4 linked regions of the Saccharomyces cerevisiae S288C genome follow. The protein of the gene in region 4 interacts with the protein of the main gene of each other region in a pairwise test. Each region holds a gene or a part of one and is shown on either strand. Other genes may lie near its edges.

Evidence for each region.
Region 1: the proteins of ERG26 (region 4) and ERG28 interact in binary tests that used the Saccharomyces cerevisiae proteins (3 or more experiments, as listed by UniProt).
Region 2: the proteins of ERG26 (region 4) and ERG1 interact in a protein complementation assay, tested with the Saccharomyces cerevisiae proteins (one study listed by BioGRID).
Region 3: the proteins of ERG26 (region 4) and ERG27 interact in a protein complementation assay, tested with the Saccharomyces cerevisiae proteins (one study listed by BioGRID).

The regions. Positions count from the first base shown.
Region 1 is NC_001137.3:235,145-241,092, forward strand, and holds ERG28 (Erg28p), read right to left. Parts: upstream 2,873-5,948; coding exon 2,426-2,872; downstream 1-2,425. Other genes in the region: MXR1 (peptide-methionine-S-sulfoxide reductase), read left to right, coding at 1-347; SAH1 (adenosylhomocysteinase), read right to left, coding at 626-1,975; MEI4 (Mei4p), read right to left, coding at 3,316-4,479, 4,568-4,630; ACA1 (Aca1p), read right to left, coding at 4,888-5,948. UniProt on the Saccharomyces cerevisiae protein: Part of the third module of ergosterol biosynthesis pathway that includes the late steps of the pathway.
Region 2 is NC_001139.9:844,041-850,321, forward strand, and holds ERG1 (squalene monooxygenase), read right to left. Parts: upstream 4,384-6,281; coding exon 2,893-4,383; downstream 1-2,892. Other genes in the region: RBG2 (Rbg2p), read left to right, coding at 1-920; CBP4 (Cbp4p), read right to left, coding at 1,853-2,365; YGR174W-A (uncharacterized protein), read left to right, coding at 2,615-2,701; ATF2 (alcohol O-acetyltransferase), read right to left, coding at 4,789-6,281. UniProt on the Saccharomyces cerevisiae protein: Squalene epoxidase; part of the third module of ergosterol biosynthesis pathway that includes the late steps of the pathway. ERG1 catalyzes the epoxidation of squalene into 2,3-epoxysqualene.
Region 3 is NC_001144.5:338,637-345,181, forward strand, and holds ERG27 (3-keto-steroid reductase), read left to right. Parts: upstream 1-3,173; coding exon 3,174-4,217; downstream 4,218-6,545. Other genes in the region: CHA4 (Cha4p), read right to left, coding at 1-837; lysophosphatidic acid acyltransferase ICT1, read right to left, coding at 1,108-2,292; MIM2 (Mim2p), read left to right, coding at 2,689-2,952; APC9 (anaphase promoting complex subunit 9), read right to left, coding at 4,334-5,131; DNA replication initiation factor CDC45, read right to left, coding at 5,353-6,545. UniProt on the Saccharomyces cerevisiae protein: 3-keto-steroid reductase; part of the third module of ergosterol biosynthesis pathway that includes the late steps of the pathway. ERG27 is a catalytic component of the C-4 demethylation complex that catalyze the reduction of the keto group on the C-3.
Region 4 is NC_001139.9:494,390-498,424, reverse strand, and holds ERG26 (sterol-4-alpha-carboxylate 3-dehydrogenase (decarboxylating)), read left to right. Parts: upstream 1-1,922; coding exon 1,923-2,972; downstream 2,973-4,035. Other genes in the region: EFM5 (protein-lysine N-methyltransferase), read left to right, coding at 391-425, 488-966, 1,060-1,292; ERP6 (Erp6p), read right to left, coding at 3,258-3,908. UniProt on the Saccharomyces cerevisiae protein: Sterol-4-alpha-carboxylate 3-dehydrogenase; part of the third module of ergosterol biosynthesis pathway that includes the late steps of the pathway.

The sequences.
Region 1 (5,948 bases), on a different chromosome or scaffold from region 4:
GTGACACAGATTTTGCGGAGGTTTTACAAGTATCCTATAATCCCAAAGTGATAACTTTGAGAGAATTAACTGATTTCTTTTTTAGAATCCATGATCCTACTACATCTAATTCACAAGGACCTGATAAAGGTACACAGTATCGCAGTGGATTGTTCGCTCATTCAGATGCTGATTTAAAAGAATTAGCCAAAATAAAGGAAGAATGGCAACCAAAATGGGGTAATAAGATTGCCACAGTTATTGAACCAATCAAGAACTTTTACGATGCTGAAGAATACCACCAGTTATATTTAGATAAGAATCCACAGGGATATGCATGCCCTACTCATTATCTGAGAGAAATGTAGCTTTTTTAGTGTACGTGCCCTTATTTATGAAAAAAAGTCAAGTGCATGAATGAAATATTTACTGTTGAAGAATTTATTATATATATAGGTATACAGGATCTATCTTTTCGATAACGTAACTTAGTATCACATGTATTAGTATTAATACTGTGATAGGATTGTTAGCTGTTGTTTTTATATTTGCAATTTATTTATGATCTTTTTTGATGATCAAACCGTTGAGTTTTTGAACATTAAAAAATAGTGAGAAAGAAGAACTGAAATGGGAATTGAATTGATCAATATCTGTAGTGGTCGGCCTTGAATGGACCTTCTTCTGGAATACCCAAGTATTCAGATTGGACTTTACTCAATTTAGTCAATCTAACACCCAAGTTGCCCAAGTGGAACTTAGCGACAGCTTCATCCAAGATCTTTGGCAAAACGTGGACACCAACTTCGAATGGGCCTGTCTTTTGGAATTCAATGTGCTTTTCTCTGAAAGACTTATCGTTAGACTTGAACAAAGCAATTTGAGCTAAGACTTGGTTAGAGAAGGAACAAGACATAACGAAAGATGAGTGACCAGTAGCACAACCCAAGTTAACTAATCTACCGTTAGCCAACAAGATGACGTGTCTACCAGAAGACAACAAGTAACGGTCGACTTGTGGTTTGATGTTAATACATTCTTTAGCGTTAGCCTTTAACCAGGCGACATCAATTTCGATATCGAAATGGCCAATGTTACAAACAATGGCATCTTCTGGCATGTTGATGAAATGTTCACCGTTGATAATATCTCTACAACCAGTGGTGGTAACGAAAACTTGACCAATGTGGGATGCATCTTCCATGGTAACAACTTGGTAGCCTTCCATGGCAGCTTGTAAAGCGTTGATTGGGTCAATTTCGGTAACCAAGACACGAGCACCCATTCCTCTTAAGGCAGCAGCACAACCCTTACCGACATCACCGTAACCAGCAACAACGGCAACCTTACCAGCCAACATGACATCAGTGGCTCTCTTAATACCGTCGACTAAGGATTCTCTACAGCCGTACAAGTTGTCAAACTTGGACTTAGTGACGGAGTCGTTAACGTTAATGGCAGGAACCTTTAACTTGCCTTCTTTGACCATTCTGTATAAGTGGTGAACACCGGTGGTAGTTTCTTCGGAAAGACCAAAGCAGTCTTCCAGCATTTCAGGGTGCTTTTCATGAACTAAAGTGGTTAAATCACCACCATCATCTAAGATCAAGTTCAATTTCTTGTTGTCCTTGAAGGCAAACAATTGTTGTTCAATACACCACAAATACTCTTCTTCAGTTTCACCCTTCCAGGCAAAAACTGGAACACCGGAAGCGGCAATAGCAGCGGCGGCATGATCTTGAGTCGAATAGATGTTACAAGAGGACCAGGTAACTTCGGCACCCAAAGCAACTAAAGTTTCAATTAAAACAGCAGTTTGAATGGTCATGTGCAAACAACCAGCAATACGGGCGCCTTTCAAAGGTTGGACGTCACCGTAAGCCTTTCTGATGGCCATCAAACCTGGCATTTCATGTTCAGCCAATTCGATTTCCTTTCTACCGAAGGCAGCCAAAGAGATATCAGCGATTTTGTAGTTTTGAGCTGGAGCAGACATTGGGAATTGTTCTTTTTGTCAGTTGGGTTATTTCGAGGAGAAGAGGATTTTCAGAAAGAAAGAAAAACAAATAGGAATGGAATCATGGAGTTAATAAACCACGTTACTAAATAAGAGATTGGAAAATCTAAAATACGGCTTCGAGGTCGTTTAATTTTCTTTTTCCTCTGAAAATTTTCTTTCTTTTTCGGCCTTAGCCTGTGAAAATTTCGGCCGAAAAAAAAGCCAACGAGATCACGTGCACAGAAATATCTGCGTTAGAGGAGAGAGGTAGGGATACTTACAGAAATGAAGCCAAATTGGCAGCTTTTTGAGAAATAATCATGAATGATAAACAATTGCTGTTAAATAATGTACGGAAGGTTTGGATAAAGGTTGCTATAGGCATTATATAAATAAATCATCTCTATATAATTTTTTTTACAGGATATGCTTGCCCTTACATCAGAATTACCAAGCAACACCAGTGTAGTATTCTCTTTGTTTGTACATCCAAACCAAAGAGGTGGTTGAGACAACCAATGGACCCATGAATCCCTTTCCCAACTTACAAGTTCTAAAGATCAATAATTCAGAGCCGAAGTGGAATAGGGCAACCATATAAGACATGAAGACCAATTCGAAAATGTGTGGTTCATTCAAGTACATAGCCCCATAGAATCTGATAACACAGGAAATAAAGGTCCAAGTACCGAAAGTTCTTGCACTCAAATGGGTTGTTTCAGTGGGTTTTCTTTCGTAGACTTTACGTGTCAATTCTAAACCAGAAACGTAAGTCTGGATAGAATTGAAGACTGATACAATGGAAATGAAAAGTAACCATTTTGGTAAGTAACCTTTTGGCATTGCTGCCAAGGTGGTCTTGGTTGTAGTTATTACGTCTTGTAGGCTGAACATTATCTGATACTTTAGTGTATTTGAATCCTTCGATACTATGGTCTAGCTAGTGTCAAGAATATAAAAACCTGAAATTAGTCAATGCGTTTACGTCAAAAATAGTAGCAATAGTAAAGCAAAACAACAGGCTTGTTCAGCTTAGTTTTATATACGGGGGTAGAGAATACAATGGATCGTACCTTTTTTTTTGTTTCCTGTTCGTTCCGTCCCCGAACGAAAAAATCATAAAATAGAAGTTTCCTATCGGTAATACCGTAAAGTTTAATTCAGTTCGTATAAGATTAGGTTAATCATGGGCAAGTCCGGAAGAAGCGTTTTAATGTAGGTCTGTTGGGGAAGATGTTGTGTTCACTGTAATTTTCAACTGAAGTTGTTGTCCCCGAAATGAAAGAGCTTTCGATATTTTTGTGTTTTATAATGCGCCTCCTACTGCAAAAGAAAAATTAAATGTTTTCTGTCTCATTGAACCATCTTGACAATCGAAAGCGCGCTATCAAATTTCTTTCGGCAGTAATTAATAAGGCCGCCTGTATATATTTCCTTTTCTTCTGAAGCGATATTTCATGAGCCGGAAATTTTTCCAGGAAAGGTTTTAAGTGCTGCCATTCAATGCTTTCAAATGTCTCGAGCAATGATAGAATAACTATCTTGAGTATTTTCAATAGACCCCCTAACTCTTTTTCTGGGACACCGCTTATTACACTGTAAAAGTTCTTTAAGTAGGTTTTCTTCAAACTCAATTCTCTTTCGAGGTATACTCGACAGTACGCCTTTTTCCGGTTGATGCATATTAGTTTATGCTTCGATACAAATCTAATAAGTACATGTATCAGACTTTCGATGATGATAAGTATGTGTTCAATTAATTTCAGAACAGATACGTATTTTAATATCTGCGGTTCAAATGTTTGGTTTGTCTTGATTTTGATGAGTTGAATGTTAATAATAGAGTAAATAAGGGTAAAATGCAACGAACACAAGCGCTTGTAGTCAACTTTATCACATAAATGTTTGCCATCTCCCTGGTCGTAAAAGTTTTGAAGCCATTTTGGATCGTTTTGGTTCTTCTTCAATAAAATTCTATTAAACAGAAACTTGGCGATGAAATTGAAAACATGAACGTCTATCAGTGTCCTCTTAAAAGAAGAATCAGAATCTATGCGATGCGAATAATGAGAAACTAACAAGATTTGGAGTGTTTGAAACACTTGCGATAACCCTCTAAAGTCAATTTCTTTTGTTTTTAAGCTCAGGATTTTTAGCAGAATTTTATATCTCGGTAAAAACCAGTTGTTTATATCAGCAGTTGATACATCTTTGCTAAATGATTGCAGCTCCTTTAAACCAACTGCATCTTCGAAGCTTTTGTACTTATTCTGGCAAAGGAAATTGTATATAGGTTCCAGATGAGCAAACAGTGATTTATTATTCAAAAATCCATTTTCGAAAGGCGCAACCCATTTGTATATATGTTTTGAGTTTTCCCGAGGATTTATTTTTAAATTTTTTTCACTCTTGAGAGCACCTACATCTTCGACATCTCCTTTCTTTCTTGAAAGTGCCCTCTTCCACAACGTAGGATTCCTGGATTGAATTAAAGCAAAACACTGTCATAGATAATATTCGAGGAGATTACACCTCTTACTAAAAGTTAGTAAAGAGAAAATAGGTTAAGGATGTGACAATTTCACGTACGATTATCCAGTCAACTTCCGATGTTTCCTTTTGTTCCATATCTTCCAGTTTGCCTCTACTCATGTCCTTACTCTTCTAAAAGATTATTTAATGAAACTGTTTCACAACTACAAGATGTTTGTTATGTTTTCTTTTACAAGTCGGAAACATTTAGCCGCCCAGCAATATATATGACTCCGAAAGAAAATGAAAGGAAATACATACATAGTAAAATAAATCGTTTAAACATAAATAATCGTACAGAGGAAAACATTAAGGAAGGAGAGTCAAACTAATGTACTGGGAATTTGGATCTCCCATAAGAAGTATGCGCAATACTTTTATTCATCATATAGACTGGAGCTGCGTATCATTTCTTCAATCATTTTCAGAAACCCGTTAACATCACTATCCTTGTTTTGAAGGCTTTGATAACTATTATTACCACCATTAATTGTGCATTCTTGCATGTGCAACCTCGAAATTTTCTTCATTTTTTGAACCAATTTTTCGTAATTTTCAATTTTTTTCTTCATCATTGTGTTTTCTTTGCTTATTTGGTCAAATTCCCTTTGAAGTTGTAATTGTGACATTTTCTTTCTCTGTCGACACTTGGAAGCGGCAATTCTGTTTCGTTCTAGTAGCCTTGCACGCTTCCAAGCTTTAGCACCGTCTTTCAAGCCTGCAGTATTGTTCTCTATTTTTTGGGGTCTAGCTTCCTGCTTTATTTGGAAGGTTGCTGTAGTGTGCATAGAGGAGAAGGGCGCGGTATGTACGTCTTTCTCACTATTAATATTGTTTTTCAGTGCAGAAGTGGCATCCTTGTATTGTGGTTTTGAGTTGGCATGTGTTAAATTGACATCAGGGCATTTCGATTCGTATGGAAGGCTGCTTGAAATATTCAACTCGGCATTTTGGCAGGAATTATTAACAGTGTGGTGATTAACGCCATGGGAAATTGAAGAATGGACGGATTGATTTTCGATATTATGATCATTAATGTTTTGGCAGGAAGAAGAAGAGGAAACGGAAGAATTAGAGGCTGGAGTACATGGATGCACATTCAATTGAGCGTTTTTCCATGCCTTAGTTTGCATTTGAGCTTGTAATCGGAGTTGCATGTTGATGTAAGCCTGATTCATTGTGGAATCGCCAGATGGGATAGAAGGCGTGGCAGAAGGAATGTCACAAGTGGCTGCTACTGCGGGTATGTTAAGCTTTATATTGCTATCATACGGGGTCATTGCAGCGTAGATATTCTTGCTACCTGTTTGAGGTGCAGCTTCGGGTATGACTGTAGCTTGTTCGTGTGGTTGTGGCACGTTTTGCAATTCGTTCGAGCTAAAGCTTGGGTATATGGCTGCGCTTGGATTTGCCACCTGTTGAGGATTGGGATTCTGTT
Region 2 (6,281 bases), 350 kb from region 4:
ACGCTAGAGTAGTTTTAATAGGTTACCCCTCCGTCGGTAAGTCCTCCTTATTGGGTAAAATTACCACCACCAAGTCTGAGATCGCTCATTATGCTTTCACGACATTGACATCCGTTCCTGGTGTATTGAAGTACCAAGGTGCAGAAATCCAAATTGTGGATCTTCCAGGTATTATTTATGGTGCTTCGCAGGGTAAAGGTCGTGGTAGGCAAGTTGTTGCAACAGCAAGGACCGCAGATCTAGTATTAATGGTTTTAGATGCCACAAAGAGTGAACATCAAAGAGCATCTTTGGAGAAGGAGCTGGAAAATGTAGGCATCAGGCTTAATAAAGAGAAACCAAATATTTACTATAAGAAAAAAGAAACTGGTGGCGTGAAAGTTACGTTTACCTCCCCTCCAAAGACCAATTTAACCGAACAGGCAATCAAAATGATCTTGAGAGATTATCGTATCCATAATGCAGAAGTTCTGGTAAGAGATGACCAATGTACGATTGATGATTTTATCGATGTTATTAACGAACAACATAGAAATTATGTCAAATGTCTTTATGTGTATAATAAGATAGATGCAGTATCATTAGAAGAGGTGGATAAACTTGCCAGAGAGCCAAACACCGTTGTTATGTCCTGTGAAATGGATTTGGGATTACAAGACGTCGTTGAAGAAATTTGGTACCAGCTGAACTTGAGTCGTGTGTATACAAAGAAGAGAGGTGTTAGACCAGTATTTGATGATCCTCTAGTGGTAAGAAATAATTCCACTATTGGTGACTTATGTCATGGTATCCACAGGGATTTCAAAGATAAGTTCAAATACGCATTGGTTTGGGGTTCTTCTGCCAAACATTCTCCTCAGAAGTGCGGCTTAAACCACAGGATTGATGATGAAGATGTAGTTTCTTTATTCGCGAAATAGTATAAATGAATAGATTTTAAAGAAACATGAAAAAACAAGATCAGCATCGAGAACTGTAGTACGGAGCAGAGATTTTGCATGACTAAACGGACTCATTTTCCTTGTAGTAGAAATAAATGCTGAAAATAGGTTTTTTAGTGAGAACCGGAAGGTGTTACTTTCATGGTATATTCGTATATACTTTTATAATGTAATTTGAAGAGCTCCGTTCATAAAAATTGTCATTCTGGGCTTCAAATGAATAAATAAACCCGAATGACAATGAAATCTCGAAATTATAATAGTGGTACCTAGTGTAGTAAGTATAAAGGAACCTTCTCTGTTGTATCTCAGAATGGGATACCTCAGTATGACAATACATCATCCTAAACGTTCATAAAACACATATGAAACAACCTTACAGCAAAACGAACAGAATGAGCAACATGAAAATAAAACTCTGCCTTCCTTAGCTAACCTACTCTAACGTATAAGTATCTGAACAATTGGTTTAGATCCAAGATTCCGCGCTTCCACCATTTAGTATGATCCATATTTTATATAATATATAGGATAAGTAAGATCCCGTGAATCAAGCTGATAAACCGTTTTGACAACTGGTTACTTCCCTAAGACTGTTTATATTAGGATTGTCAAGAACCTTGACATTACCCCATTGCATGATGCAATAATCTCATATAAATAACAAGCGCAAGTGGTTTAGTGGTAAAATCCAACGTTGCCATCGTTGGGCCCCCGGTTCGATTCCGGGCTTGCGCAATGTTTTTTCCATCCCCAAGTATGGGAACTAAAATAGCTAAAAATAAGTATGAAGTTATATTTTTAAACCTATTTACAGTGTACAAATAAATAATATATCATAAATGACACAGACGTATGTTTTAGGATGCAAAAGTTCAAGCTGCCCTTCCTAATTGAGTGACCCGACCCATCTACCAGAAGCGCCACCAGCTTTTAACCTGCTTATCCTGGACTATTTCCTTTGTTTTCTCCTCCGTTTCAGATCTTAGCTGAGACAGTTCATTTCTGATCCTAGCCAACTCTTCTTTTTGCACCTCCTCCGCCCTCACCTTAGCAAAGTGATCTCTGCTTTGAACGTTATCACCGTTCCTTTCCCAAGGTGATTGAAGGGGGCCCGTCTTCCAAATTGGATCGTCACTTTGAGAAGTTTCCTTAACAATTTTCATCAAAGCCTGCTGCTCCGACTGACGTAGTTTTTTCTCCCTCTCATATTGTAAACGTAATTCTGGGGAAAGCTGGCTGATTAACTGTTGATCTGTTGGCGTTGTGTACTTGAAAAGCAGAAACCCGCTTCCAATAATAGCGCCACCAATTGCATAGACTTTCAACCAACGTACCCACAATGGTCTTTCCATACCCAAATAATGCTTATACTGTCTTTGTTTTGCTATTACTGCCTCTCTAGGAGTTATCGCGCACTGCATGTATATAAAATTTTATCTTGATAAAATACCCCGGGGGATGAGCAAAAAAAGGGATATGGGGAATGAAAAGTGAGATAAACTAGCAATAATCTATTCTAATAAGTAGAACATTCACAAAGACTACTATGGTGTAATTCTGAAAGGATTTACGAGAGCACAAATACTATTATGTATAATTCTGACTGCAGAATCCGGCAAGCTTGATTTAATATCACTTAAGGAAGTAATATCGTTAATTGATAACCGAATATGAATCTCAATGCATATTTTGAAGCATATCAAGCCATTTTTCCTTTTCTGTTGGAGGCATTTTTAAGGAAAGAACAAAAAGTATAAAACACTTCGGTTAATAATAAATGATATGTGAATTTTTTTGAAAATATGTAAAATAAATAAGTAATAAATAAAAATAAGATGTGTTTATCGTAATGTACTATACAAGCCTTCCAAGCCGACTTCTGTAATAAAAAAAAAAGGTGCAGCTTAATGTTTGACGGTTCCTATCCTCTCTCCCTTATAAGCTGTAGTTAACCAATCAACTCACCAAACAAAAATGGGGTGAATACTCTAATAGCTGTGATCAAAATCATAATACCTTCCAATAAAGCCATTGGTAATCCCAAGAAACCACGTTCTTCCATGTTCAAGTAAATGGTGTAAAAAGCGACAGCGAAGAAAACCCTGGTCAATTGCAAAGGCTTTGGCAAGACACCAGACAGAAATTCAACGGGTTTGTTGACACAATCGCCACCTCTTTGGAAATATTTGAAACAACCTTTTTGTAATGCCTTCAAGTTATCGCTGTCAGCAGCGAACAAAGAATACAAAGCCACTGACAAAACGTTAATAACGGAATCGTAACTCTTTCTTTCGAAATGGTAGTCTAGTAATTCATCCAAAACCTTTTCACGGTCGCTGAAGTCTAGGTCACCTATTTTCTTAATCAACAAGACAACATCATGCAAACCGACAGTCATACCACCACCAGTCAATGGATGTCTCATATTTAGAGCGTCACCGATAACACACATACCAGTGACGTCGTTTTGTCTAGCTGGCAAGTAGGAGTTTGGCATAGCTCTAAATTTACCTTGGCTGACGGCTTCATCAAATGAAGGACGTAGACTCTTTGGAATGAAAGGTTGGACATCCTTAATCATCCAACTCTTGATATCAGCTGGGACCTTTGGAGAGTTGTAAGCACAAAGGATTCTTGTTTCTTCTGGACTGATTTGGTAAACCAAGATTGGCATATGATCACTACCAAGAATAACGTGACCGTGCATAGGAGCAGGATTCTTAGCATTGAACAAAGACATACCGACAAACGAAGAACCGACAGTTGGAACATGGTCTGGGTGCAATTCCTTTCTGAAACGTGAAAAGATACCGTCACAGATAAATGTCAAGTGGGCTTTGAATTCCACCTTGCCACGGCCATCAATGTCAACCTTGGCACCAACAACCTCATTCTTTTCATCCTTCAATATCTCAATACAGTTACCTTGCACTCTAGTAACATTTGGCTCTTGAGCAGTAATGTTTCTCAAGTTGTTCAAGAATCTACCATGAACAAAAGCAACACCCCTTTCTCTTTCATCATCTTCGTAATCCTTGATGTGAATAGTGCTGTCTTCCAAGACCTTGTCATTACCATCTTTGACCAAGTCCTTCAATTTTTCAACTTTAGGGATATCGGCCTTGTAAGGGTATGGAATATCAACTTGTTCGCCGTTGAAAAAGACGGTATAACCGGTAACAGGATATGCTTCGATGTTGTTGATAGATTGAATCATACCCAGACTTCTCAATGCTCTAACACCACCTGGTTGCATCAATTCACCAACAATTCTATCAGGCATAGCCCAGTCACGTTCTACGATAAGAACTTTCTTACCCTTTCTTGCTAGACCAGTAGCAACACATGGACCGATAACACCAGCACCGATGACAATCGCATCGTAGGTAATTGTGTTGTCGGCATTAATCAATTCAGGTGCAACGTTAACAGCAGACATGACCCTTTTCTCGATATGTTTTTCTGTGATTTTTTTTTTTCAATTGTTCGAAATAACCTGTATTGTTCAATACTGGACAATTGTTCTGATATATATATATATATATAATTTTCAATGAAAAAAAAAAAAAAAAGAAAGAAAATTAGAAGCTAGAAAGAAATAAGGAAAAGGAAAAGCAAACAACAATAGGAAAAAAAAGCATAGAAACATATAATAGATTAAATACAAAAGATTTATTATACATGCGAGGTAAGACTATTGTCTAAGACTTATACCCGACCGAGAGCAGCCACGGCATGCATCGACTACGAGCGTATTGTGTTATATCAGCTCTGTCCGATACACTGCTTGCCTTTTGTACGAGCTCGGCCGAGCTATACGAAGGCCCGCTACGGCAGTATCGCATTAAAGCGACGCAAATTCGCCGATGGTTTGGTAGAAGAGCTTGCAGAACGATTCCCATTCGCCACGATCCCGTAGAGTGCCCTGAACCACGCTCATGTCCATGTTCATACCATTCACGTTTGTGGAGCAAACGTTTAGGCCGAACGCAAATCTCAAGGCGCCTGCAGACTGCGAGAAGATTAAATCCCGAACGTAGTACGGCTTGGTCGTATCTTGCGAGACAAGTCCTGTATTACTGATGATTGCACCGCCTCTTTGCTGGTGCAAATAAGAGTTGGCAAGAAGGCTGTCTATATTCTTGTTTTCAACGATAAAATCAAGTTGTAGGACCCCCAGACCAATCAAGTGGTCACCGTTGTCGTACGATTCTAAAAAGCGGTCATAGTAGTATTCGACAAGACTCCAAAACTTGTCATTGTCACCTTCGGGAATGTCGAATGAGGAGATTAGATAGGCGTAATGCGAACCTCCAACGTTGGAGCCGTATTTATAAGAATCTCTTAACTCTTCATCGTTTGGTAAAAACCTTCTTGCGTTGCTTGGAATAGCCACATCGAACCCATACTCGAGAAGAGATTTTGTGAACAGCTTATCCAGTCTATACAGGGCTACAAGAAAGCACGCTTGAATGAAGGGTGTTAGGGTGCACCCATCGTGAACATTTTTCTTGATCTGAGCTCTGATTTGTTCTACTTGCTTAGTACTGAAATGCAACAAGTAATTGTAACTAGCATTAGCATTACTAGAGGGGCTATATCTAGCTGTAAGTGTAGATTCGCTGGAGGTTTTAAAATTACAATGTTCATAAATGAAGGTTGTTAAAAAGAATTTGGGTAATGAAGTCAATGCTGGCTTGTAGTCAATACGATCCGTAATCGGTTTTGGCAATTTAGAAATTTCAGTGTAGTCTCGATCATAGTCAATGATGACTTGATCTTCGATGAACTCTTCATCATAATCAAACCCTTTTTCTTCGATTTTACAAAAGAGTAGAGCTAAATCTTTGAAAAAATTCGATCCACTGACACCGTCGGAGCCGCAGTGGTTAGTGACATAAACGAAGTTTTTCCACGTTTCAAACCCATCAGTATCCTTACCTGGTAAACAAATCAATCTCCAATTAGGCCTCTTCGGATTACCCAGAGGTATGATTACAGGGCTAATCAATTCGATTAACCTATTGGTGACTTTGAAATCATCCTTTTTGAACTGTTCTGAGATTTTCTCCATGACTTCTCTGTATTCTGGTTGATTATTCATAATCAAGTCATCGAATTCAAGATGAGAAATCACCTTTATGAAATCATGCTGTGGAAAAGGTTTACTAAGGTACTCTTCGCTAGAGTAGTACGCTTCATGATGAGGATAATGCTTAGGAATGATTGTATGCGCAAGAGTTGAGTATTTTTGAAGTAATACTTTCAAGACAAGCATTAGTTGTCTCTTATTAACACCTTTATTCAATTCCGCGTAAACAGTAAAATTCGAGTACA
Region 3 (6,545 bases), on a different chromosome or scaffold from region 4:
AAACACTTCAGATTGTTGAAAAAGCTCAGTTTCTGATTTGTATGAAATCAAAGATCCCAATGCAGCGATTGCAAATACCAATTCTTCGGAACAATAGTAACTTTTAGTGTTAGTATCACCGAAGAAAGCACTTAAGAAAGTTTCTCTATGAATGAAAAGGTAATGTCCCGGGTATAGCCATTTGAAAAAGAGTGACAACGATCTTAAGATAAGGGGACTTCTTGATAAATTTTTTAGGCTGACCTGCTGTTGCTGATATCTTGTGCTTCCATCCGTCTTCTTTTTTATTATAGACAAGGAATTTGATGGATATATACTATTTGTGCCAACTGGTGGAGGGCTCTCGGAAGGCATTTTCTTGGTGAACGCATCAGACTCATTCTCATCGTTGCTTTCAGATGATGGTAGTGCTGATTGTGCTGTTTCGCCATACTTTAAGATTTTTTCATTAGGAGCATCACCATGATCACTGTTGTTTTTTAACGAGGAGAGAGCATTGCTAGCAATTGTGGAAGACGAGGAACTTAATATTTGCAACTGTTCTTTCAAAGACCGAATCTGGCTCTGTAAAGCTTCTACGTAAGTCGTAGAATATCTTTTGTTCCTTAAGTCTTGTTGAGTGAATACACATTCGGTACGAAACTTGATACAGTTTGAACAAGGCTTTTCCATGTTACATTTCCTTCTTCTTCTACGGCAATTCTGGCATGCTAGTTTTCTCTTCCTGGGCACGTTGTTATTATTCTGGTCATTATCTGTCACAGATTTCTTTAAACTGGACGGAAGGGAGGGTGTTACCGTTGTTGTTAAAGGTGGAGGTGAAGGCTCCAACATCATTGCTGCGATTGTGTAGAGCTTCGAGTTTTAAAAGGGCTATTTTTGAAAACTTACGGCGATGTCAACTTGTTGATTTTGCTTTGTTTCGTTCGGGATGGATCGGAACATCCGCTCACATATGAGAGGTTTACACTCTTGATGTATATGTTGCTCTATCTTGTATACGGTTAAGTAAAGTGATGTATTATGTATATGTATGTATTTATATATATATATATATATATGCGTGGTTTTCCATATTGTATTTTTCTTCTCTACTCTATATAGGCATTACTTTGACAGGAACGAGACTAAAGAAGAGGCAAAGTGCTGCGGGTTGTCCAGGAAAAGATTATGGCCAGCATCAGGGACTTCAACGTAGCTAGCCTTTGCCTTGTTTTTTAGCATTGATTCAGTAGTCAAGTAGCCCGCATATTTATCCATCCAATCGTGCTCGCCATACATGAACATGACAGGCGTTGCTGGGTTCAAAAAACGAACGTTGTTTATTATCGGATCTCTAGCGATCAGATTCCTTTCAAACAAATGGGTGAACACCTTGATTGTCTGTGGTTGCACCGTCTGGTTCTTCCCGACAAATGAGTGCAAAAGATAGTCCTTATATATCTGATCCGGAACTTTTACGTATGCGGTGGAGATGTAGTTCGAGCACAATTTGGAGCCTATGGGTCCCATCCACTTCAAAACGTTTAGCTGGTTTTCAAAGATAAACCGCGGTACGTTCAGCTTTCTTGTATAATATCGGGACGATGGGTCGGTAAACGTAAGTGGATAGGTGGTGTTGGGCTCCCATTTGTGGGTGATAGCATGTATACTGTTTTCCACACCAAGAGGAGATATGAGACACAGTTTCTCAATGGAATCAGGGTACTTGAGGGCGTATTTGAATGAAATATATCCTCCGAATGAATGGCCCACCACGTTTATTTTGCGAAGCTTGTTATCCTTCCGCCATTGCTCTATCCTGTCTACGAAGTAGCTTTCGTACTGCTCCAGGTGTGACTTGATGTCCTCTGCTGGGGGGCGCTTCTCTATCACAGGGATTACTACGTCATCTTCTATATGCTTAAACCTGAGAGACTTGATCTTCTTGGTTTTGTTCACTTGCAATGCTGGCGCCTCTGAGGCACCATTGGCTGGCAAGTCGATGGCATATAGATCTTTAATGTTGTCTGACAGGTTCTCAAACGTCCTGTAGAACGCCATCGACGAGGCAGCGTATCCATGGATTAGTACTGTAGGCGTGCACACTTTGTTCGCACGCTTATTGTGGAAATGCCACTGGTTAATCCCGCCTGGAGTCATCGTGTTATTAACGGACCCACGCACAGTGGTGCTATCCATAATTTGCTGCTGCAGGGCCTTCAGGCCCTGCACGCTAGCACACACCTTGGCGTCTGCAGTAGTGGTCTCCTTCTCAGTTTTGCTGCACCATTTGAAAGTGTTTGTCCACATTCTACTGAAGAAAACTACGCTTACGTATGTATATGTCCTGAACAATGAGAGAAAGACCTGCGAATATACTTCTACTACTCCACGTACAAAAAAGAGCACGCTGCTTTATTTATACTTTTGTGCCACAAGAATGATCAACATCAACATAAATATCAACTAGTATCTGCAACACATCTGCTCCACGGAACTAAACCCGTTGAGCAGTGCCCCGTGGAAACGTAAACTATCGCAAATTGGGATTAACAAGCCAAAAACAGCCAAGCAAGATTCACGAAACCGCGCCTCGTTTGGACCCCGAAGGCCCATTTAACGGCCGGCCGTTACAAGCAAGATCGGCAGAGCAAACCACTCCCCAGCACCACAGCACATCACTGCACGAGCAACAATAACTAGAACATGGCAGATAGCGAGGATACCTCTGTGATCCTGCAGGGCATCGACACAATCAACAGCGTGGAGGGCCTGGAAGAAGATGGTTACCTCAGCGACGAGGACACGTCACTCAGCAACGAGCTCGCAGATGCACAGCGTCAATGGGAAGAGTCGCTGCAACAGTTGAACAAGCTGCTCAACTGGGTCCTGCTGCCCCTGCTGGGCAAGTATATAGGTAGGAGAATGGCCAAGACTCTATGGAGTAGGTTCATTGAACACTTTGTATAAGTGTTTGTTGTTTATGTATCCGCATATAGCAGTTATAACAGATAAATGGCACTTTTCGCACACCCGTTGTTTTATCTCCGATAGTACGTGGGCCTTTATTTATGGTCGTTTAACGAAAGAACGGCATCTTGAATTGAGCAGGTATTTAAAAGATAGGACGAGAAACAAGCACATGATCTGTGTCGAAAAAAAGTAGCAAAGAGAAAAAGTAGGAGGATAGGATGAACAGGAAAGTAGCTATCGTAACGGGTACTAATAGTAATCTTGGTCTGAACATTGTGTTCCGTCTGATTGAAACTGAGGACACCAATGTCAGATTGACCATTGTGGTGACTTCTAGAACGCTTCCTCGAGTGCAGGAGGTGATTAACCAGATTAAAGATTTTTACAACAAATCAGGCCGTGTAGAGGATTTGGAAATAGACTTTGATTATCTGTTGGTGGACTTCACCAACATGGTGAGTGTCTTGAACGCATATTACGACATCAACAAAAAGTACAGGGCGATAAACTACCTTTTCGTGAATGCTGCGCAAGGTATCTTTGACGGTATAGATTGGATCGGAGCGGTCAAGGAGGTTTTCACCAATCCATTGGAGGCAGTGACAAATCCGACATACAAGATACAACTGGTGGGCGTCAAGTCTAAAGATGACATGGGGCTTATTTTCCAGGCCAATGTGTTTGGTCCGTACTACTTTATCAGTAAAATTCTGCCTCAATTGACCAGGGGAAAGGCTTATATTGTTTGGATTTCGAGTATTATGTCCGATCCTAAGTATCTTTCGTTGAACGATATTGAACTACTAAAGACAAATGCCTCTTATGAGGGCTCCAAGCGTTTAGTTGATTTACTGCATTTGGCCACCTACAAAGACTTGAAAAAGCTGGGCATAAATCAGTATGTAGTTCAACCGGGCATATTTACAAGCCATTCCTTCTCCGAATATTTGAATTTTTTCACCTATTTCGGCATGCTATGCTTGTTCTATTTGGCCAGGCTGTTGGGGTCTCCATGGCACAATATTGATGGTTATAAAGCTGCCAATGCCCCAGTATACGTAACTAGATTGGCCAATCCAAACTTTGAGAAACAAGACGTAAAATACGGTTCTGCTACCTCTAGGGATGGTATGCCATATATCAAGACGCAGGAAATAGACCCTACTGGAATGTCTGATGTCTTCGCTTATATACAGAAGAAGAAACTGGAATGGGACGAGAAACTGAAAGATCAAATTGTTGAAACTAGAACCCCCATTTAATATATCTCTGCGTACATATGTATATATATATATGTGTGTATATACATGTATGTCTGTATAGAAAACGCATATCAACTGATATATATACACGTGAAGCAAAAAAGGCATTGCCTCTGTCAGAGAAACGAACTATCCTCGTTGCTATAGTGTCTTCTGCACTTATCGCGTAGACTTTCTATTGGCACTCTGTCATGGCATTTAATCTTGTACACATTCTTTAATTCTTCTTGCAAAAGAAGGTACTCTTCATGCAAATGATGACTTTGGAGTGAATTGACTAATCCTGAGTCGTTCCAGAAACTTTTTAAGGCGTTCGTTTCATGATTTATTATGTCATCCAACCGTCTCATATTAGGTTTCGAATTTGTTACAAATTCTCGCCTTGATAACCTCTCCAGGTCTTCTTTGTTGCATCCAGGTACACTCTCTAACAACATTGAACCATTGCCCTCCGGATTCGCACTGTCATATTTATTAGCCTCTTCGCCGCACATGATGTCAATATCGGGTCGATAGCTGTCTATGCCGTCTAGATGGCCCACCTTATGAAACACAAGACAATGTGCTGCCCTTTCGGCTTTCAAAAAACTGTCAATTCTACTTTCCCTTAGCGTATTGCGCTCACAAAACGGTGAATAATCGTATTGCTTTTCTTCCTCGATGTGGCTCAAAGTATTCAGATAGTCGACTTCGTCTACGTCCATATTTATCCCATAGAGATCATCTGCAGTCCTCTCCTCTAGTACTTCGCCTGTTATGGGCATCGAATCATCATTTATTACCCTTGTCGACCTTTTCCGTAGCGGTGTGGTAAAATTGTTAAAGTTGGCTTTGTTGAACCTTGGTGTTTTCCAGGGCGGCAATGACGGTAGTTGAAACAACTTGCCTTCGTTCTTATCACCATTTTGGTTCATCTTACTTTGTCACAGCTATTTCTTTCCTTCCTGAATTTGTCCTTCCAAACCTAGTTCCCTGTTCTTAATTTCCTTTTATTTAGGTTTTTTTTTTTGTTTTGTCAAGAGCCGCGCACAAAATATGGTATTATTATAGAAAAGTTGGACTTAAAAGCTTGAAAAAGCTTAGATTTTATATTCATATGCTGGTATATATGTACGACTAAATAATATAAATTTGATTATAACAATCCACTCAAGGTCAGCTTCTCCAGGAATGGTGAAAGATCTTCACGACGTATTTCAATTATGGAACTTTCAAAATTATCTATTCTCACTTTAGCATCCGTTTCTGCAGTTATTTGTTGAAACGCCATGCTGAAATTATTCAAAATAGGTTTTTTTGTGTGTATCGTGTCTAGTCCGCGAGGATACCTAGGTGTTAACCCAGCAACCAAGTAAGTGTCCGTATTTTCATCTATGCTGGCAAGCACCATGGGCAACAATTGCTTGTCTTCAGATTCCGCACAGCATTCTATGAGCCAATTTCCTAATCTTAATAACGTCAATGGGTTTCTGTACAAGTCTAAATCGGGTCCGTCTTGTAAGACGCATAATCTATAAATTCTTAAATGCTTGATTAATTTCTTCTCCAATATAGCAACCCCGGTATTAAAAATTGCTCTCTGTAAGTCTTGTGCTAGTTGAATGCCACGGTTTAATAGTTCCACCTTTCTGTCATCTAGAGCATCCCAACTGAGCCAAAAATTCGAAACCCATCTTTTTCTCAAATTCGTCAATTTTTGAGCGCTGTTATCTTCTTCTTCCTCTCCATCTGTATCGTCATTATTGTCATTATTTATTTTCACACTATCCTTATCAGTTGAATTACCTACTTCCAAAAGAGCTGTTAGTGCTTCGACAAATTCACTGGCACTTATGGACCCACGATATCCAAGAGTTCTAACAAACCCATCTCTAATTATATCTTGCAACCCATAACGATCCAAATTTTTGTCAAATATTATCCCAAGTTCTCTCTTAATAGAATGATCCATGTATAACCATGTTTCTTGTGCAGTACTTAATGGTATACCCATTCTAGCAAACATCTTATGCAATCTCTTTTTCCCATTTTCATTCCATAGGGATAGTTTGGCATTGACATAGTTAGAATAATAAAAACTGTCGTACAATGAAGAATGCCTCAGTAAGAAAAGGTAGTAATCCGGTTGGATGTTTAACGTCAATGTATCAGGGGTCTTTACTGAGTTTCTACTGCTTGGTGTGAGACGCTTCACTTCATCTTGCAATAAGGGGTATAATCGATTGTAAACTTGAGCATATGCTATATCTAACGAGGTCGTACCAAGTATATTCAACCACAGGTTTGAAAGATTTGTTTCTCCGATAGCAGACAATAATGAATAGATTT
Region 4 (4,035 bases):
AAATAGACTGTTTTATAATATTTGGTGTACAACATGGGACCTTCAGAGGTACTTTCGGAAATCACGCAAATATTATGCACTAGTAACCCTCAATCTCTAAATAACTTATATTGTCATCTGTAAGGCAGCAAAATCCAAGATGGGCAATGTATATAGGTATATAGTTTAGTATTGTCATCTCATAGAATATCAACTGCATAATATACATGTATATATAATTTCCCATTCATTTAGAGGCTTCTTTTTTCGTCTGTATCGCTGAACCTTATGCCGGTTAAATCTAACAAAATTTTTTTGAACTGGAGGAACTAAAAAAAAAAATATTAATCTTGACTAATATACTAATCAGTCACTTTACATCTTAATGAAACCGAAAGAATCACTGATAAAATGTCCGACTCCGACTCCGACTCCGATTATGAATTGTAAGTACAGGATATTTTCAACACAGTAACGTAGAATTACTAACTAACACGAAACTTAATAGGACACTTTCTGCTAATGCCCTCGCTGCCCTTGAAGAATTCAAAAGAGAGGAACAACAACATCAAGAAGCCTTTCAAAAGCTTTACGACGAAACGGATGAAGACTTCCAAAAGAAAAAAAAAGAAGAAGGGATGAAGCTTTTCAAGGAAGATTGGCAGCTTTCCCAGTTTTGGTACAGCGATGACACAGCCGCAATTTTAGCAGATGCCATATTGGAAGGTGCGGACGAAAACACTGTAATTGCAATAGTTAGTGCGCCATCCGTCTATGCTGCCATTCAAAAGAAACCTACTAATGAAATTCCAACCGAACATATCTACTTGTTCGAATTTGATAAGAGATTCGAGTTGTTAGCTGGAAGAGATCATTTCTTTTTTTATGATTACAATAAACCACTGGACTTCAGTGATGAAATTAAAGGAAAAGTTGATAGATTGTTAATTGACCCACCTTTTTTAAATGAAGATTGTCAAACAAAGTGTATGTATATCATAAACATATCCCTACTCATTTTTTAATCTTTTTTCCAGTATCTTTTCATCTTACTAACTGTTATTCATTGATATAAAATAGCCTCTATCACTGCAAAGTGTTTATTAGCGCCAAATGACAACTCTAAAACTAAGAAAGGAGTTTTTAAGCACCGCCTCATAAGTTGTACTGGTGAAAGAATGTCTGAAGTCATATCCAAAGTTTATTCTGACACAAGAATAACAACTTTTCTTCCTGAACATTCTAATGGTTTGAGTAACGAATTTAGGTGCTACGCAAATTTTGAATGTAGTTCATGGAAATTTGCTTCTTGAGCTTTTTAAGAGCTTCGATAAATTTGAAAATTAATTGTACTACATAAAAAATATGTAAACATCAATATATATAATATAATCACATTTCAAATATATCACGTGTTATATTTACTATATAAAAATTCAATAAATAAAAAGTTAGAAGATAAAAATTATATTATACATATTTTTATTTTTATTATAATTTTTGTTTTTGCCTTCCGAAAAGAAAATAGTTTTTTGTATTACGGAAATTACAGAAAAATGTTTAATTTTGATTTCATATTTTTTCTTTCTTTGAAAGAATATTGACGACAAAGTATTGGATAATTATAATGCAAGGAAAGGATATTTGTAGATCTTCGGTTCAATGAAAGTTAATGCGGTATGAATATTGCTTTCTCCAGGACCTTTTTTTTTTTTTAGAGGCTATTTTATTGTCGGTGTTTGTGGATTTTATATTTCTCGGTCCGATAGTCCCTATAGATCGTTTATTGTTCTCTCGAGAAATGGTATCGTTTAAAAATCTCATATAAGCCTGCAAGGAAAAGATTATGCTGCAGCTATAAAATAGAATAGACAACAATATAGATTGTCAATTTTGTCCAATTTTATTTGCAACTCTACCTGGAAGGGCAAACAAAAATAAATATGTCAAAGATAGATTCAGTTTTAATTATCGGTGGTTCTGGTTTTCTTGGATTGCACTTAATTCAGCAATTTTTTGATATTAATCCTAAGCCAGACATCCACATTTTTGATGTTAGAGATCTCCCTGAAAAACTTTCAAAACAGTTTACTTTTAATGTAGACGACATAAAATTTCATAAGGGTGATTTAACATCACCTGATGATATGGAAAACGCAATTAACGAAAGTAAAGCAAATGTTGTTGTTCATTGTGCTTCTCCAATGCATGGTCAAAATCCAGATATTTATGACATAGTGAATGTTAAGGGAACCCGTAACGTGATAGATATGTGCAAGAAATGTGGCGTTAATATACTTGTATATACTTCCTCTGCTGGTGTTATTTTTAATGGGCAAGATGTGCACAATGCAGACGAAACCTGGCCAATCCCAGAAGTTCCTATGGATGCGTACAATGAGACTAAAGCTATCGCCGAAGATATGGTCTTGAAGGCGAATGATCCAAGCAGTGATTTCTATACTGTTGCTCTTCGTCCAGCTGGTATTTTTGGCCCAGGTGATAGGCAATTAGTACCTGGTCTAAGACAGGTTGCGAAATTGGGGCAGTCGAAGTTCCAAATTGGTGATAATAACAATCTATTTGATTGGACTTATGCTGGAAATGTTGCTGACGCGCATGTGTTAGCTGCACAGAAACTTCTCGATCCAAAAACAAGAACTGCTGTCTCGGGTGAAACTTTTTTCATTACCAATGATACCCCCACCTATTTTTGGGCCTTGGCCCGTACTGTGTGGAAGGCAGATGGTCATATTGATAAACATGTTATTGTTTTGAAAAGGCCAGTTGCAATTTGTGCAGGTTATCTTTCAGAATGGGTATCCAAGATGCTGGGTAAAGAGCCAGGTTTGACTCCATTCAGAGTCAAGATTGTGTGTGCATACCGTTATCACAACATTGCTAAGGCCAAAAAGTTGCTAGGCTACACACCAAGAGTTGGTATTGAAGAAGGAATTAACAAAACGTTGGCCTGGATGGACGAAGGTTTGTAATGGCAATCGTTAGGAGCTTTTTGATCCGATTATCGAAAGATAGTATGTTGAAATAGCATATCTGATACGCACCGTATATATTTATTCTGTCTTTATAGATGAATAATAAGAATTGAAACACCTAAAACATCTTGATGACTAGGTTAGTATATATATGTATACACTCATTTAATGACTACACTATGAAGCGTCGGGGTAATGCATGTAAATAAATAGAAATAAATCATTGAAACAACGAAATTCTCATGTATGCCTGCTAAGGATTCAATTTTTTGATATGTACGGTCATAATACTTTCTGCTTAACAAAAAACGAGCGTAAACTTTTCATTTGCCATACACAAATTATAATGAGAAGAGTAACTTGAGTTACCGTCCACCACATTGCGCGAGAATTCACAGACTCTGATATGTCTCTAAAGGATTCTTCACGTTCTCTCATCAGTTGTTGCTCTCTCCTGATATCCACGATCTTAGAATTCAATATACTGACTTTTCCGTGCAAACTTTCCAAGGTTTCTTTTCTTTGCATGTCCAACATTGCTTCAAAACCGACTTCAAATTCGATTTCTAACTTTGTTTTGGTTTTCCCTACCCAGTTATTTACCCTAGACTGTAAACAGATCTTATATTCTCCAGATTCCAAAGCTAGAAAGCTGAAGTCACCGGAAGGAGAGCCCTGTTGGTGGACTACCCTATGATTATTATCAAAGACTTCTTCCACATCTATGACAATGCCATAGTCATTATAACTGGGAAGCGCATAATCTGCCAACTTATCATCGTAAACTTCCAAATTGTAAGAACCTTTTAAAAGGGTGTCTTTGGATAGTTCCTTCAGGAAGCATTTTCTGTCTCCACCATAACCATAGAAGTAAAACGCGGAAACTCTGAATGGCAATAAAACGAATGCCAGGAAGATGTAGTGTGATAACATTGGCAAATCTAGATCCTTTCAGATTGAGGCGATAAGGAAGAAAGCGCCAACAATCTGTTCACAACCTCACCAATAAAGTCTATCAGTAGAGATTTTAACTATACACCCCATATCTTGTTGTGTCGAT